2 linked regions of the Oreochromis niloticus genome follow. The protein of the gene in region 1 interacts with the protein of each later gene in a biochemical or structural test. Links are inferred from orthologs where the notes say so. Each region holds a gene or a part of one and is shown on either strand. Other genes may lie near its edges. The genes, in order: gab1 and grap2b.

Region 1 (9,310 bases):
TGAACCACACTGACGGGAGACTATCAAAGTAAAACAGGAAGCGCACAGGGAGGCAGACCAGGGGGAGAGAGAGAGCACGGGGAGAGCACAGTCATAACGGGCTGGGGAAAACATGGAATAAAACACAAGGAGGGGAAACAAGGACTCACAGATACACAGAGGGGCACACAGAGGGTAAAGTCACGAGGGGAAATCACACGAAAACTAAGAATGCTGGGTCAACATGACCCAGGGTCATGACACAAAGACTGCAGAAAGATATAGTTATTATGGATATTATATGGAGCCAGAAGTACACAATGAAAAAGATGTCTTCTTTTATTGCCAAACCTGTCCCAAACATAGAAAGCAGCCAAGCACAGCCACTAGATATATTTCTCATTCCGATTCCTCTTTCATTTCTCAGTCCCAAGAAGGTGATGGGATGACCAACAGCCAGGTAGCGCTCCACACAGGTCAAGACGTGAAGTCTCGCCAAACCAGTTGGACAAATGCATAAGGGCCCCCACTAAAAGTATATTTAAATCTTGGTTGTAGTTAGCGAAACAAATGAGGATACATCCAAAACTATAAATTAGTTCCATAGTGACTATGTGGTATGTGAAACTGTCTGAATGACTTGCTGTTGATGCTGAGGAGACAGAGTGCCCTCTCCACCTTTGTTGCAGACCATAGTAGAGGATAAGTGTGCAGAGGAGGAGGAGGATATTGGTGATGCTGAAGGAGATGAAACGGAAGGAACTTGGTCTGTAGACAAGACACTGTATTTTCAAAGGAAGAGAATAGCTGATCAAGGAAAGAGAGTCATTGGAGGTGGATGAGATTACTGACATCTGGAAGAAAATATAAAATAACAATCACATATAAAACATAAAATCATATCAAATGTCAAACTGAGAAAATGTACCACTGTAAAAACAAAATAAGCTGATTTTGAATTTGATGGCAGGAACACATGGCCTTGTCCTAATTTTCCAATATAGATTTTTGACCTTGATCCATTAATTCAAAATTTCACAGTTTCTTTAATGATATTATGTACATCATACAAGATATTCAAAGTCTTTGCAATTTCATATTGAGAAACAGTATTCTTAGATTGTTCAACAAATTGTATATGCAGTTCTTTCCAGATTGGTGAAAATATGCCCGTCTAAGATGGTCTTGTTATATTATTTTTATTACCATTTAACGTTTAATATTTTTCATGAAATTACAAATTGTCTCACTTTAAACTTTTCTTATGGTTTCTGGCTCTTTTGTGGATAAAATATGTTTGTTTTTTGTTTTTTTGTACTCAGTCTTTTTGAAATTGCGGTTTCATGACATCACTCAATTTTCATCTGTCCTACTTTGTTAACCAATCCCCTGCACTTGCAGCAAAATGTATCTCTTTTCCACCGCTTCATTTCAAGATATGAAAATTATATTCAAAGATAGAATAAAACTACATTGAAACCATACAGAACATTGTGATTTAATTATGTCTTGAATGAAAAACTAAAGATGTAAAAACAGAGAAATATTCTATAATTGTTTAGTTGTGACAATATTGTTTATTTTATTTTTTTATGTTTAAAGAACTTTTCCCTTGTAAGTAGTGTGAAGTGATGGAGGATTGAGGAGGATGCTCTGTGGTGACTAAAGTGAGCAGCTAAAAGAAGAAAAAGAAGAAGAAGACTCTCTTTGTCAGTAGTCTGATCTTCCTCCTATTGTGAGACACTCTTGTAAATGTCTGATTCGAATGTCCACCTCTTTTAGAAAATGAGTGTTTTTGTAATAGGTGAAGGGAGGAGTACAGGAGTACACATGCTATAATTCAAGTTCGTTCTTTGAATCTTTTTACACGGTTAAAATACGTTGGCCTTTATATTTTCTTTGTTTTCCCCTTTTCCCACAAGGCCAGAGAACAATTAGCATGACGTTTATTCAGTGTTGTCAGTTACACGAGCCAAGGTGTGTCCATGACGGCACTCTGGATTGAGAGATTAGAAAAGCTGCAATGTTATGAAAATACACGTATAGTAGAAATTTAACTCAACCACAAAGATTTGCTTCTAGATGGCTGAAATGTGCTCTTAGAAGGACTTTGTAAATGATCACCACCAGCTAATCATGCAGCTAGAATGAAGCCATGCAAATGATACTCATTTTTTCAGAACATTTTCATAATTCAAATAACTTTGAAACAAACAACGATCCATGTGTATACAAATCAAGTAATGCACTTTAGGTCATCACAGCTGCCCTCGTGTTTTATTCAAATATGAGCTTTCTTGTTTTGATTCTCGCAGGGGTGTTTAATCATGAAAATAACACAAAGTGAATATGTGTATATCAAGAAGAATCGAATCACTGCTTTCGACCAAATGACCTATTATTATTTCTCACAGGTGTATTTTTAGTTAATAATATATTTAAAATTGATATGCAAAAAACTGTGACTCTGCCATAAGAGTCACATTGAAGTAATGCACCACGCCCCACCAGTCCACCCTTTACTTGCAGGGTTTTTTTTGTTTTTTAAATGTGCAACAATATTCATTTTATATCCGTGGAAATGAAGCAGTACATATCAGATGAAAAATCATAGGAAATGTAATATTGTTGGGTGAGCCATCCATCCATCCATCCATCCATCCATCCATCTTCATCCGCTTTATCCGAGGCCGGGTCACGGGGGCAGCAGCCTAAGCAGAGAAGCCCAGACCTCCCTCTCCCCAGCCACCTCCTCCAGCTTATCCGGGGGAACACCAAGGCGTTCCCAGGCCAGCCGAGAGATATAATCTCTCCAGCGTGTCCTGGGTCTGCCCCGGGGCCTCCTCCCGGTGGGACATGCCCGGAACACCTCACCCAGGAGGCGCCCAGGAGGCATCCTTGTCAGATGCCCAAACCACCTCAACTGGCTCCTTTCGATGTGGAGGAGCAGCGACTCTACTCTGAGCCCCTCCCGGATGGCCGAACTTCTCACCCTATCTCTAAGCGTTGGAGGATTTTTCATTTTCAATATCTGCAGAGTTGGTGCTGAACACTGGTTGGATGGTCCCCCTGTGTTTTGCCTACGGCGCCAATCAGTTCAAGTATGTTCAGTTAATAATCCAAGAGACAGTCAGTGTCAGTTTGACACTTTGGTGTCTAAATCTTTGAGAGACCTTCTTTAACAAGAAAATCCTAAAATGGCTATGAAAAAGACAAATATCAACAGCTGTTTTTCTTGTCAACAGAAAAACAACAACAAGAACACAACAGTGACTTTAATTGCAGTTCTGTATAACTAACACCAGATGGCAGTAAATAGCCATATGTCACTCTGTATCAAACACAAACTGATAACTAGCTAAACAGATGGCCACATAATGTCAGTGTATTTTTACATTGTCTGACAGAAACATTGTTGTTTCTCTCCCTGTACTATTTTTCATTCCTACAAATTCTTTCTCCTCTTGTATTTAAGAAATGACAAAACGAACCTACTTTTGGCCACTTCCTTATTCACAAGAGGTCCCCACAGCAGGTAAGTCCACTTATTTTTGTCACAAATACATATACAGTTGTGAACAAGTCTTTGCCGCTTACCCTTTTTTTTTGGATATTTTTCACACTTAAAGCTAAGTATATTAGAAAAAAACTGTTTTTATATCATTTAAATCATTATTTCATTTTAATCACGATTTTTAAAAAAATGATATCCAAACCTATGTGAAAATGTAAGCCTGGAAAAGGTTACAAAGCAGTTTTTACAGTTTTAGGACTCCACACCAAACTAAATGAGAGTCATTATCCACAAAAGAAGAAAACTTTGAAGAGTGGCGAACTTTCCCAGAAGCAGCTAGCGTACAAAAATTACTCCAAGACTGCACTGATGACTCACCCAGGAGGTCACAAAAAAACACAACAAAAAAGAAAGTCTACAAACGGAGGAAGAATTTAAGAACAGTGTTCCTTAACATAAAATTATACAGACTTAAATATTTAAAATAAAGTGATATAATAATGGATATAATCACTCATGTAAAATTGTTCTGAGGTCAGAGAAATTGAAATTTGAAATTACTTTTGGAAAACTTGGATGACCTCTGAACTAAAGATAAGAGGGACCATCCAGCTGGTTACAAGTGCTTAGTTCAAAAGCCTGAAACTGTTCAGGGGTGTGTTAATGCCTTTTGTTGTACCTTATACTTCTAATAATGCATGATTTTCTTTGACAAAAGTACAGCAAGTTCTAATTCTCCCACCTAGTCACACAAAACAGAAGTACAACTCATACAACCTGAGTTTTTCCTAGGTGTTTGAGGGAACAATTGCCAGTTTTAAAGAAAAATGATACTATAAGATATTAATACTATATTTAGTAAAGGAGTAATAACTTAAGAATCAACTTTCAGCTGCTCTAGTACACTATTGAGCTGTTGTAGTTTACACATTTGCTTGGCAATGAAAGGTCCCTGGTTCAGTTATAGTTGGAGATACAAATCCCATTTGGGGTTTTGTCCTAAAAAGGCATTTGAGGCAAAAGTCTGCCACATCAAACATGTAGTAATTCCCACCATGAGGTCATCATGGTGGGAATTACTACATGTTTAAAAGACCTGCAGTCAGCTGAGACTGAAGAACTCACTTGGATGAGTGACGAAATGTTTCTCCCACTGAAAACGCTACGTCCAGATGAACAGAATCAACTTTTGGAAAATTATCTGTGCCATTTTTTTTTTAAATATAAAGCTTCTGTTTGTTTGTTTTTTATGTCAAGCAAATTACTATTAACAGAAATAATACATGTACTTCAACTGCAATATAAGAAAGGAATAAATAAATGAGCATCATATAAAGATAATATTGACAATAAATCAATTTATGTGTAGGTTTTGATTTGAAAACAGTTCAATTATAAAAAAAAATAACTTAAGAATTAAAAAAATAAAATATAAGGTATAATACAAGAAATAGTCAAGCCATGTAAACTGAAGTTATTACAAGAGAAGAAACTGAAGAAAGTGGACTTCATCTACTATTTAGTTTGAGACTTTCAGCACTGGAGGGTGCTGTAGCCTCCCTTTTACCAATATAATATATTTTAAAGAAGTCTTTAATTTCAAGTGTACTTGGAACTCTGGAAACTGATCAACTTAGGGTTAAGCCTAAACCTTAAACAACTTTCAGTGCTCTTTCACACAAGATACCTGGAGATACCAAGGTACATGGATTAAGATATAATCATCAATAGACCCCAAGGTTGTTCATAATGGCTGTTGAGCTGTTACTGAATGTATGCATCTTTTTTTAAGTAGAAATTAAAAAAAACAAACCAAATAGATGCTGTTGAAGGAAAGAAGTTTTTTTTTTCTTGTTTTGTTGAACATATGTTTTCTTTTGTTGATATCAAAAGTCTAGTCTGTCATAGTAGACCCATACTCATGCTTATTATATTTAGAAATCTAATTTATCCATCAGTTTATTCAACTTATGTCCATGCCATGTTCACTTTATTTTAAAGTAGACATCTTTCTTTTCCCTCGCACATTTTCCAAAAAAAAGCTGCATCCATATCCACAGGGGGAGTTTCCTGTTACACGGAACAGGAGGAGAATGGGAGGAGTGAGGAGGAGGAGGAGGGAAAAGTGGGTGGAGAGGAGAGCAGGAATGTCCGAGCTGAGGCATTGTGTTCAGTTATCACACAACCACAAAATGCGAGAGAGTGAGAGAAAGGAGGGAGGAGGGAGGGAAGAGTGACTGCTGGGAAGTTGAAGCTTTCTCAAAAGGAGGTGTGACTCAGGCGTCGACGGGTGAACAGAGGCTCTTCCATGTGTGGATAGAAACTGCTCAACTGATTCATTACAGCAGGATTTTACTTAAAAACAGACTGGGAACCTTAACTTATTAAAAGTCTGATTGACAAGTGGAAGCCTGACCTACACATGTACAGATCAACTGACTGGACCTCAGACTGGTGCGAAGCTTGGATGCCTTGTTTACCAATTTAAAGGCAAATCAGCTGATCTCGAATCTGGTTGGAATTGATCATTTTTAACAAAACAGAAGACTTACTGAAACGTTTAATTAACCCATGTGACATTTGATTGGTTAAATGTACCTGACTGTTGGAAATTCATGGTGATCAACTGAATGGTTGCCTGCTTTGACACATTATTGGCATCCTGATCAACTGAGGTCCATCTGATTGGTTGATTGATAATTAAAGAAGCGCTGCTGGAGCCATTTTTGTTGGCATCGGGATGAGCGGAGCAGGGGAGGTGGTGTGTGAAGGGTGGCTGCGAAAGTCTCCCCCAGAGAAAAAGCTGAGGCGCTATGTGAGTATTTTATTTGAATTTGAAACATTTTGAAAAAATGAAACATACAAAAAACTGTGCATATGTTCTGTATCTTTGTGATGTCCAGTGTGGGTATATGAAGTATCCTAAAGCTGTACAAAGATTTTTAATCAGGAGTACAACTACAGAAGTATTACTAACTGTTCATGGAGGTTTGTCTCTGTAGCATTTAATTAAGTTTGAAGATTCGTCTCAGTTTCATCAGTGTTTACACAGTGAGTCATTTCCTACAGTTACACACTCTTGATTATAAAACAATAAAAACTATCCATCCTAACACACCTGTCAACTAGACAGGAAGCAACACTGTAATGTTACTTGACTTTGTACTACCACATTATAAAATAAAGAGAATATTTGTGGAAGGACAAAGTCAAGTCTATGGTTTACCCCATCCTTCACATTAAGACAGCTGAGATAGGCTCCATCACCACCATGACCGTGAACTGGATTTGCAGTGGATTCGTAAACAAATGGATAGATTTTTATTTCTAAAAAATGAGAATTCACACATTATTTATTTGGCCCTATTCAGAATACAGCTAATACACAAGCTAAATCTAGAGAAAAAGAAAAACAGCTCGATTGTATGCTATATCTTTAGCACAGCTACAATATTTCTACTACAGTTAGCATATTAGCGTGCAAGCTAGCTGTTTGTTTACTTCAGTCAGGAAGCAGACTTTTAATTACAGCTAGCACAGCAGTCAATATCCTTAAAGTGACATCTGTAGCTGTCTTGTATTTGTATCGTATTGTAGGTGAATTTATTTGTGAGTCCTTTCTCTATGAATTTATGTAAAATGCATACATCTTAGCCAAAAATGTTAAGCCTTAATCCCATTATCTTTGAAAAAACAAAAACAAAGATGTGACACAGATAAATACGCTGATCTTTAGCTGATATATTAGTCCTACAAACTAACTGTTATACAACTTGTCATTAGAAACATAACTGACTTAAAGATGAGCTACAACATTGCTACAATGTAACTTGTGATCTGATAAACATGTAAAATGAACAAAGTGGACAGTTCTAGCTGCTGTCAAAAGGAACAACTGTTTCCAGTTACATGTAAGCCACAAAAATGTTATTTAGCATTTTTCAAATCCCAAACCTGACAACCTGGCTCTGTGCCTGTAATGAATACCAGAGACTTGGACCAGTTTTGTTTTTTCCTGAATTCTCCTTCACTATGTAGAATAAGTGGAAGGATGGATTAATGAATTCATGCAAGTTGGTGTGTCCAGTGGCACCACTGGCTGCTTTATTCCAGTAAAGAAGCAGCTTAGGCAGTTAGGATCACATGCATGCACCGCATATTTGGCATACCTTACCAGTGAGTTGAGCTAATCTCATCTCTCCTTCCATATTTTCCCTTGATGTTTTATTCTTTCCATTTCTAAACAAATGTTTGGTGTACCTCTCTCTGTGTTTCTCTTTCATTCTTGTGCTCTCTCTTCCTCTCCTATGATCACATGCTTTCCTTTCCTCCTGCCCCCACTCTCTCTCTGTCTGTCTTTGTGTGTGTGTGTGTGTGTGTGTGTGTGTGTGTGTGTGTGTGTGTGTGTGCAGGGAAAGTGAAGGATAAAAAATAGTCTAGAAGAAAAAGTGATAGGAAGTGAAGCTGCCTTCAATACCAGAATCTGCTCAGGGAAAGCTGAACAATTTCCAGATTTGAACCAGCAAGCTTTTACGTGAGAAGACGGCTCTTTGATGAAATAGCTGAAACAAAGCATCACTAAAAGGCCGGCGAAAAGCACAGAGAAACTGTGCCAGCATTAATTAGGCAGACTTCAATTTAATTCTTCTTAGCTGACATCAGTAGACCCATCGCAGGGAACGTTTTTAGGAGGGAACAATCAGATTTCAAAGAAAGTGGAGTGCTGGAGTTGCACTTTCTTACTGCTTGGTTAAAAATTAAGGAGACCGTGCACATCCACTGGAATCAAAGAAGAAGAGCTGGAGGAAAAGGGAGAAGAAGACAAGAGACGAAAACGCAGAGAGGCGAGACGGCAAGAAAAAGAAAATTGCTCCAAACAGAGAGACCATTGTTGAGTCTGTGTATATATTCAGTCATGATGGTATATACAATGAAATGTGTGCATACACTGCTTGGCCAGCTGTGTCTCCAATATCAACACACTCACACTTAAACACACAAACATGCACAGTCCCCTACAATGGCAGAAGCAGACAGTTTGTGTGTGCTTGTTCATGTATAGTGGGTAAAGTTCATGGAGTGTACTTCGTCACACACTCCCTGTACTGTTGAAAGCTGTGTGTGCGTTATGTAATAAACTAATCACACTCAGCTATGCCTGGTTAGAAGATGAGGGCCTCCCTGAAGATTTAGAAGATTTGAAAACACACACACACACACACACACATTCTCTGGAAGCAAACCAGGGATAATGATGAGGTAAATTTTGAAACCTTGAGTACAATAACACATGTTTTACACACACACACACACCCAGAAGGTCAAACACAGTTGAAGAAAGAGTTGGCTCTGCAAAGGCCCTCTCTTGGATATATATCACAGTTTGGATACCTCCAAAAGTCCTGCTCTCCATCAATGTAATGGTGCAGTGGTGCTCTACAGACAAGTTCAAAACCTAGCCTTGGAAAGGTTTGAATAAAGAGCTCTGATTTTATGCATCCCAGCACCACAGATGCTCAAACACCACTCAGCAGCACCCACAGAGTTGAACGTTACTTAGCCACGGCCTGTAAAGTATGTAGCATTTATGGCACTCGATAGGATAATGGGATACAATGATCTGTCTAAATTGCTGGTGTGAATGGCTCTTATATTTGACATTTATTCCATTCCATTATGCGGTTGCATCCGATTAATGCGTAGCAGGATGCTACAAGATAAGTTTCAGTCAGCCACGGTACACCTGAAATGTTACATTTCACCTCGAGAGAGTTATTCATGATTTCAGTTTTTCAAGTTGAAAAATTCCTAACCTAT
Region 2 (9,539 bases), on another chromosome or scaffold:
TTAAGTGATTTACCACCATGAGGCAAATAAAGGGTCCAATATTTTATCAGCCTCTTTTTATAAGAGCCCACTCATCATCCAAATCATCATTCATCACATTAAACTTCATTCATTTTAAAGGAGTCAATTCTTTTATGAAGATTTATGATGTTTAAATTGTAACAACAGGCTCCGATGTGCCATTTTTTTTTATTTTAAGTATGCATTAGAGATACTACCACGATTATTTCTGTCATGTACAAGTTTCACTTAAGGGAATGGGAACTGTCAACAATATGAATGTAAGAAGGAATTTTGTTGTGCTGAGACTCATTGATGGCCGCGATGTTTTTAAATCCTGGTGGGACTCTTTTTGTTTTCAGGGTTTTTTTTAGATTTCCAAGAAAACTGCTCATCAAAGCACTCAAAATCTTCCCTTTCTTCCTCACTCTCTTCCCTCCTCCTCGCACTTGGACACACATGGGGGAGAAGCCGAGTAGAGTTAAGCGAGGTAAACTGAATGAAATGTGATGTGTGCTCACAGAATATTTATCATACATCTCCGTCTCTCTGTCAAATACATTTATCTCTTCCTCTTCTAGGTGCGCTCACTCAGTCACCCTCCAGATTCTGAAGTACCTCAACACCTAAAAGATGCGACTGTCACCAAGCACGAATGCACACAGACACACACACACAGTCACGGACATCATGCAGAGTTAACAGGCCCATTAATGCTGAATGGCAGCTCTGCATTGAGCCATGTACAAGTCCTTTCCATCTTTGAAAACAGAGCTTTATGAGCTCTGTCATGAAACTAGATGGGATATTTCATGGCCCAGGCCATTAAATGCAGTCAACAGTGTGTCGCACACACAAACAAATACGTACACATGCAGGCACACACACACCCACACAAACACAATGCCTTATTACACCTGTACCCCCTTTGTTTTTCTTGATCCTGCATAATAAGCTGCAAAACAACAGATCCATGTACAGCTGCAGGTCACCTTGGAAACAGCTACCAAATGATTCTTTTAGCATTATAAAAATAAATAAATAAAAAATCATGCACATAAGCATCTGCAAGGTTGCATGGAGTCCATTTATCGGCCCCCTCATGGTAGGAATGCCGATTGTTTAGGCGCTGCTTCTTTTTTTTTCAGTTTTTTAAAATCACATTTTCTTTCAGCCTAGACGCAGGATGAAATGCCCGGCTAACACCACATGGGGATCTGAGCATCCATGGCAGGCCAACCACTGAGACCGACTGTGAATATCAGAGTGAGAGACAGAGACAGGAAAACCAACAGTGTGTTGGTGGTGGCAGAATCTGCTTGCTTTGGCCCCAGCTGCATTTCCATATGTACTCTACTTCAGCACTTCCTTTCTGTTAGGCTATCTGTACCGTCTGCCCTTTCTTTGTAGCATACCAAGTGCTTTTAGCTACAAGTCACACTATACACTCACACAGTGCTGCAACCACTTTATCTACCTCACATCCATGGCCAATTTACAATCACCAATTAACCTAAAATGGACATCTCTGGACAGTGAGGAAGCCAGAGTACCCAGAGGAAACAAATGTAGGCTGAGGAGAACGTGCAAAATCCAACGGAAAGGCCTCAGCTGGGATTTGAACCAGGAGTCTTCTTGCTATGAGGCAATTGTGCTAACCATGCATACTGTGCACTCATTTTTGCATCAAGTCACCATTTCTCAGGGCACCCTGTGACCTCTGTATGACCTCTGCTTCTTATGCGGACCATATATTGATCTCTTTGTTTCACTCTTTCAGTGTTTGGAGATTTGACCCTTTAAAGGGCAGAAGGCACCTGTCTCTGCAGGAGCCTGGGCTAATGTGTTGACATCACAAACCGTTCTCGTGATATTGTTAAGAATTCCCTTGAACTCTGTCACCACTTTTGGATTGAACAGTTTCACAGTTTTAGTTTCAGGTTCGTTTTAATCAATAGTTTCTATTGATTTGACCCACACTAGTGGCTCAAAAACACCTGAATGGATAAATAAGCCATTTATTCAGGCTAATGTAAAAAAAAAACAGCCAGAGGTTGTAAAAGTAGAAATCACCTGTACAAGACTATTTATGTTTAAATGTATCCATTTTGGTGTATTTTTGGTCACTTCAAGCTAAAAAAAAAAAGAAGAAGAAAAGCTTTAAAATTGGCAGCACGGTGGTTAGCACTGTTACCTCGCAGCAAGAAGGCCCTGACTTCACTTCCATCACCAGGCTGGAGATTTTTCTGTGTGGAGTTTGCATGTTCTTTCCAGGTACTCTGGCTTCCTCCAGCATTGGAAAGACAAGGAGTTAGTAGGAATAGGTTAACTGGAAACTCTAAATTGCCCGTGGGCGTGAATGGTTGTCTGTGTCTATGTGTTAGCCCTGTGACAGACTGGCGAACTGTCCAGGGTGTCCCCTGCCTCTCACCGTGAAACAGCTGAGATTGGCTCAGCTCACATATACCTGGAACAATCAGCACAAAAAACAGTACAGATGTGGTTCCCATTTGAAGCATTCTGATGACTTTTAGTGCAAAGTTCTTTTCTTTTCCCCAGCTTTTCCAATGAGTGCATTTCAGAGCTCCTAGCAGCAGCATGAACTGATTTGGTAGCATCAGTCCTTTTTATTCTCTGATTCTTTGGCTCTGTCTTGTAGTTATTTGACATTTTATTGTCATTTCTATCAGACAACACGGTGGTGCCCTTTAAAAGGACAGAGACAAATCACTGCATCCATCAGTGCAGCGATTTCATGCCACTTGAGTTTGGCATCTTTGCTCTCACCAGCCGATCCAAGCGAATCAAAAGGTGGCCAGATAGCATCACAAGAGATATAATAGCAGCAGAACAGTGAGTGCCCCAGTGCTAAAGCACAGATTTTGTGCTACAAGCATGCAAATGAAAAAGCTCAGCAATCAGGGTGAATTGTATCCATATCTGTGACATCATACACCTGAAAACTATTCAGAATTTAACCTAATCTGTGCCTAAGAAAGATACTGACATGTCACTGGCTTGTTATTTATTGACACAAATTTTCTCCTCCTACCTGATCCTACTCTCCTCTCATTCTTCCGTATATGCAGTTATAAATAAATAACACAATATATTTTAGATAAATTATTTGGCTTGAAGTGAAAATCGGTAAATTGGGAGGCCTCTCTTGCCAACAAATTGAATATTTTCTCATATTCTTATTACCTAAAATCAAATGAAACCCAAATAAGCACAAAAATGATCTGGTTCATGATCTGCAGTGTCACTTTGTGTTTCTCTGAGTTTGTGTCTATAATGGTCTTTACTGACTTGAAAAACATCTCAACCTTTTTTCCCTGAAGTCTGCTGCCACCATGTGGCAAACACAGAGCAACACTCAGTCTTTACATTTTGCAAACACATCCACTTCAGATGTCGAACAAGACCAAGTACAAAATTCCTATTTTGCCATAGTATGGTCATCTCAGGCACACAGTCCTGGCTTAAAGGAAGGGTGATTTTAAAGAAAAGGAGAGGATAAACTAATTGGCTTTACCAAAGCCCACCATTTGGTAAAAGAGTTATTTGAAACTATGAATCATGCAAAGCTTCTATAGTTGGTTCTTGTGACTGACTGGTAGATTCTTAGCAAAATATCTAATTTTTTCGACAGCAGGACTTACGGCTTCACATTTTCAACATATGTCCCCACTTCAGGAAGCAGAGGGAAGAGTGAGGCAGAAAGGATTTTCCCAAAATTGAAAATTGTGGAAGTGGAGGCAGACAGAGCGGTCAGCAGATGAGGTGGAGGAAGGACTGATTTAAGAACAAGGCGCTGGAAGCTCAGAGGAAGACATACCAGCTTCTGAGGAGCCATGGACAATGTGATGGCACCCACCATCACATTGCATAATGGATGGAAAAATAGGAAAAACAATGTAATTTAGGCCTCTGAAGTTTTGCATAAGGAAAAAAATGTCAGAGCACACAAACCAGAGCATGGTGCTCATCCCTGATGGCAGCACTAAAAATGAAAACATTCTGGAGCATATATGTTCACACCATGACTCAGATAACCAAGATATCCCAGTTATACCCAAATCATTCTTCAAGATTAGGTAGCCCATTAAGGTAACAAATGGTCATGATGTCCCTAATAAGCTAGAAAGAATAAAGCCTCCTGTCAGCTATGTAAAGAGTGGTCATTGTTTGCAGACACAAATAAAATGCAGGGGACAAAGGCGAACATTTGATGCAGGAATGATGAAAGGAAAATACAGTCTAATGATAGAAAGCAAAAGACCAGGACCCACAAGGAATAATTCCACCAAGAGGGGAAACACTAGGAACACACAGCAAAACGATGACTCAAAGGACAAGGGGACATGAAGGCAGTAAATATAAATGATAATAAGGCCAGGGATAACAAGACAAGGGAATATAAAGCACAGGTGACAAAACACTACCAACGTAAAACAGGAAGTGACTAAACAGAGATGACAAATTCAAACATACAAACCTGACACGGCGGGGCACAGGGGGAAACTAGGACAAACAACAACAGACTGTACAAACATGCCAAACAAGAATAAACAATGAACATTAAAGAATAATAAAGGATCTTCAATTATTGCACTTGTCACTCAGTTATTCCTCAGAGCTCACGTCTCCTGCCAAGTTCATTTTTATAGCATTGTCACCTGGGAAACAAAATTATTTCACATGTAAATAAAGTTAAACACATGCATGCTGTTTGTGAGAGCATCGGCTGCACCACAGCAGAAGCTCCAGCTGTGGGAAAAAGTTCAAACCGCAGTTCACCTGCTGGAGAAATGTTTAATAGGTCATCGTTACATCAGTGGAAAAGTTCACAGAAGCTAAACTTCCCCTGTTGAGTTTGAAGCTGAGGTGGACTGATGAAATGTCAGTGCCTCTGTGGCTTTCTTTGATATACTAATATTGTTGATACAGTTCGATGTGCTACGGCAAAGTCTGCAATTAGTGATGTTTTTTCTTCTCTGATTGGTTAAGCATTTGATTTTCTTCTGCAAATCCCCGTCCTTTCCATTTGCAGCTTTGCCAGATTGAAGTCAATGCTTTCATCTCTTTGTAGTGTTTCTCTGTGAGGACTGTGTATTTAGCAAATAGCTCTTGGCCAACAATCAACCACAATAATAAAAGCACCGGCAGATGAAGTGAATATTTCTGATCATCTTTTGAAGGACATAGTTCTGCGGGGAAACCCTAACATTCATGTGGATGTTAGTTTAACAAGCACTGCCTACCTCAGCAATGCAGCCAAACAGCACACCTTCACGGGCATTCCCCAGTCACAGGAGAATGCACCCTACCAGGAAAACAAAAGTTAAAATCCAAGGATGTCCATTCATCTATCCAGCCTAACCACTGTATACTCTGTATATCTTCTAATTTGCATTCTAAGATATTAACAACTTTTAGATCATGCTGTCAGGGGGCTGTCCAGTCTGTCATGTGTTTCGTGTGTGTGTCCACGTTGTCAAGCTTGTGTGTCATGTCTACGTTCCATTATGTTTCCTGTTATATTTTGAAAGTCTTGTGTTCCCATGGTCAGTGTGTTTAGTTTTGCTTCCCTTGTGGTGTCATGTTCATTTGTGTCAGCTGTGTTTCCCCAGGTGTTTCCACTCCCCTCATTATCCTTCTCATTATATCATATCTTTATCATTATCCTTATGTGTATTTTAGTCCTCTGTCTTCCTCCGTTCAGAGTTGGTCTGTCTGTTTACCTTGTGTCAGGTCGGGCCTCAGAGTTTTTCACGCAACTGTTCTTCACATTCATGTCTTGTATGTACCTGTTCAGTTCCATGTTCATGTCTCTCGTCATTGTTTTCATAGTTAGTTTAGTTATTTCACACTTTAGGTCTTCTTGTCCCTTTGTTTTGCAGTCAGCCTAATAAAGGCTCGCTTTTTGTTTAAACCTCTGTTCTTCTCTCACATATCTGCATTTGGGTCCACACCGCAAACACACCGGCCCACCGAGCTGTAACACATACTAATATTAAGCATGTTGGGGTTTTGTTATTTGGGTTACATGTGCTGGAAGACTGAGTCAACTGAGTACCAGAGTTTCTTCTCAATCAAATACAATTCAAAAATGCATTAAAGAGCTCTGTCTGTTAAAAAGCATTTTTAAAGCAAACTATTCTGCATGCTAGGTGAAAAAAATGTGACAATTAATGTGACAGAAAAACCATTTTAATGTGACGGGGTACTAATGGGGGAATTTACCACTTAGACAGTCTGACCATTAGGGATTTTACAGGCTGAGGAAAAAAGGGGAAAAATACATAGTTTCAAGATAATGCCAAAATACGCTTGATCAGAAATTCCATACAAACACCACAAACTAAAGCACTTCCTCTGAGGTGAGTAAAGACCTTGAATGAGGCTTACTAGGGCAACAGGGACCATAGAAAGGGGATTTGGCACATGCACACAACACAAACTAAAACTGAGCACCAAAGTGTCGCATAATAAAGGTCAAGCTATTACTGGTCAACAACAGCCAGTCCTGTTCAGCGAAGAGGAAAAATAAAAAGGTGTAAAATTACTGTCAGCTGGATTTAGTTAATGGCAGCTTGGCTTAATATTCATGACAATCAGCTATCATGATGAAAGCAACAAAAACACTTGAACTTCAACCAATTTACAAGCTTGTTGGGGCCCTAACAAAACATCTGCAGGGGGCCTCCAACCAGCATTGGTTGGTCCAACCATTGTTTATTGTAGAGGCTAAGTCTACGCTTGAAGTCATTGAGGTGTTCAGTGAGCAGGTTTGGCGTGATGCCACTGTTATGAATGAAAACCTGCAGTACTGATAAAATCCAATAACTCCAGCGTTGCTTATCCTGTCAGCTTAAGCATGTATTGCTCAACATTGATTGCCTTTGCCATTCCACAGTTCATCTTAATATTCAACATAAATCACAACAGCACAGCGGTCACAAGCTGTTTGGTCCCTCCAAACAACAACACCCTAATTAAATCTTCCTACTTTTAATAAGATAAGATAAGATAAGATAACCTTTATTAGTCCCACACGTGGGAAATTTGTTTTGTCACAGCAGGGAGTGGACAGTGCAAAAGTTATGAAGCAAAAATTAGAATAAAATAAAATAAGAATAAATACAGTACACAACTGTACAGAATAGAATAAAATAAAATACTATATACAGTAGAATAAAATAGAATAAAATATACAATAAGATAAAAATAGAATACAAATGCTTTATACAACTGAGTAAAAAATACAACGATGCCAGGAAGATTATTGCACTTAGTGTTATTGCACATGTGTGTGTTTGATCAGTTAAAGTCTTTGTTGTGGAGTCTGACAGCAGTGGGGAGGAAAGACCTGCGAAATCTCTCCGTCCCGCACCGTGGGTGCCGCAGTCTCCCACTGAAGGAGCTGCTCAGTGCTGTCACAGTCTCATGCATGGGGTGGGAGATGTTGTCCAACAGGGATGACAGCTTAGCCGCCATTCTCCTGTCACTCACCACCTGTCATTTACAAACACAACAAGTAACACATAGCGACACACATAAGGTAATAAACAGAACATGTATAAAACACACATATACAAACATATTATAAATAGAGTTGTTTTTTTTTTGTTTTTTTTCTTTAATATTTAGTTTGGGTTTCCAAGTACAGCAATAAAGCTGCCTTCTTAAGTTAATTCCCTAGTCTCCTCTAAAAGTGCCACTAACCCATCCTCTCCTATCTGGCAGTCCTCAGGTGCTCCACTGCTTGATCCCTGTCTTGCAAACACGTATCCAAGCTATACTAAGCTACTTGCCTGCCTTGTCTGGTGGAAAACCTCTGACACAAGAAACACAGAGAATGCACAAAATAAACTTGGCACATAATGACAAGCTGTGGGAAGGGAGGGTTTTTGTAGATCCAAGAAGCAGTTTATTACTGTGGCCAGCAGCAATGGCCACATTAAAAAAAATCAAAGCTGGTATTGTGCAAATTTCAAGTATAACCAAACAAAACTAACTCTGTATAATGAAGCAACCTGTGAAACCAGAGGGAGAAAAGAGTGACAAAGCAACACTAGCCAAAGAAAGACAAAATACACATGAAATACTTCAGTTTGCCAGAGAGCACAAAAGTATTTCAGGTGAAAGACAAATGTGCTTAAAATGTCTTGGGTGCAACCACAAGCCAGTCATAGTATGTCGGTAAACACACGTGTAACAACACCTCAGGCAGTTGTGACAGACAGAGACTTAAAAAACCTTTATCACAGCTTTGTTTTTCTTTGATTTGTTTGGTAAATAGACTTTAGTCAACATGATTTACAGTTACATATAAAATAATGACCTAAACATTTTACCTATATTATAATAAATCCAGTCGATTTTGACTGTTTGCAATAACTTTATAGAACTATAATATTTTCTTCTGCTGCGTTTTTTTTTTTTTGTTTGTTTTCCCTGATCTCTTTGCCAACAGATAAACAGATGCATAGAAAGGCTCCTATCTGTTTCTATGCATCTCTGCACTGTGTCTATTTCAGTGCATGTGAGTGTATGCTGGCCAGAGGTGACGGTGTTTCCTGTGAACTGACAAGGAGTTCGTCACCTCTCTTTGTAAATTTCTCACTTCTCTTCGTAAGCCGCATGAACGCAGCTCTGTCTGGAGAACAGTACAAAGGGGGGTGAGTAAACCTAACATTTTTGCCTCTTTGATGAGGTACTTGGCAAGTCGTCATTTTGAGTTATGGCTAGCTGCCCTCCTGTTTTCCGAGCAGCCGCATTGCTCCTGGTTCTCTGAAGACACAATGCGCAGCCCTTCAAATAAAACTGTTTTGTGTGTGTGTGTGTGTGTGTGTGGACAAAATTCAAGGTGAGAAAATATGCTTTACGGGCGCTTAAAGGATTTTGTTGTAGAGGTGCTAACACAGGTTGTAGTCGTAAAGGATGCACGGAAAGGACGTAGCGACTGTCCTTGATTGAGTGGGGAATTATTCCGTCCATTAAGATACTAGAAGAGCACCAACTGATGTCAGTGCCATGTTTCTTTTGATGGGTGACTTACACACGTCTGTTTTCCCGGCTCATTAATCACTTCAGTATTTTTATCTGAGCACACAGGAGTACTTCTAACCTTTTGTTTCTTCATCCCTTCTTAGGTTTGTCTACGATGGAAGCTACGGCCAAGTTTGACTTTGAAGCTAATGCGGAGGATGACCTGAGCTTCAAAAGAGGAGACTGCTTGAAAGTAAGGATCACACACAGACATGCAAACACTTCCTTGGTTTGCTTTTAGCAACAGCACTCTTCACACAAGTTATAAAAAGTTGTCAGCATGCAAAAACATTCAAATGTCAGGTTTTATATATATATATTGCATATAATCCAGAGTATTTCCATGTATATTAGTGCTTTATCACACTTGTACAACAATGGTGCACTGTACTATTCTCTGAAGCCCTCTTCAGTTCTCTGTGCAGCCAACCACGACTGCATCCTGCTGCTTAAGTCCGAGTTTCCTTCCTGTTTACGTTGCCATT

What was found.
Region 2: the proteins of gab1 (region 1) and grap2b form a complex in vitro, tested with the Homo sapiens proteins (2 studies listed by BioGRID and IntAct, with this or other methods). The link is inferred for Oreochromis niloticus from reciprocal best matches to the Homo sapiens genes GAB1 and GRAP2.

The regions. Positions count from the first base shown.
Region 1 is NC_031967.2:38,053,301-38,062,610, forward strand, and holds the start of gab1 (GRB2-associated-binding protein 1), read left to right. Parts: upstream 1-5,681; 5' UTR 5,682-6,233; coding exon 6,234-6,308; intron 6,309-9,310. UniProt on the Homo sapiens protein: Adapter protein that plays a role in intracellular signaling cascades triggered by activated receptor-type kinases. Plays a role in FGFR1 signaling. Probably involved in signaling by the epidermal growth factor receptor (EGFR) and the insulin receptor (INSR).
Region 2 is NC_031971.2:8,430,127-8,439,665, forward strand, and holds the start of grap2b (GRB2-related adapter protein 2b), read left to right. Parts: upstream 1-5,694; 5' UTR 5,695-5,754; exon of another isoform or gene 5,755-5,802; intron 5,803-8,479; exon of another isoform or gene 8,480-8,543; 5' UTR 8,544-8,684; intron 8,685-8,727; exon of another isoform or gene 8,728-8,872; intron 8,873-8,881; exon of another isoform or gene 8,882-9,030; intron 9,031-9,158; 5' UTR 9,159-9,169; coding exon 9,170-9,247; intron 9,248-9,539. UniProt on the Homo sapiens protein: Interacts with SLP-76 to regulate NF-AT activation. Binds to tyrosine-phosphorylated shc.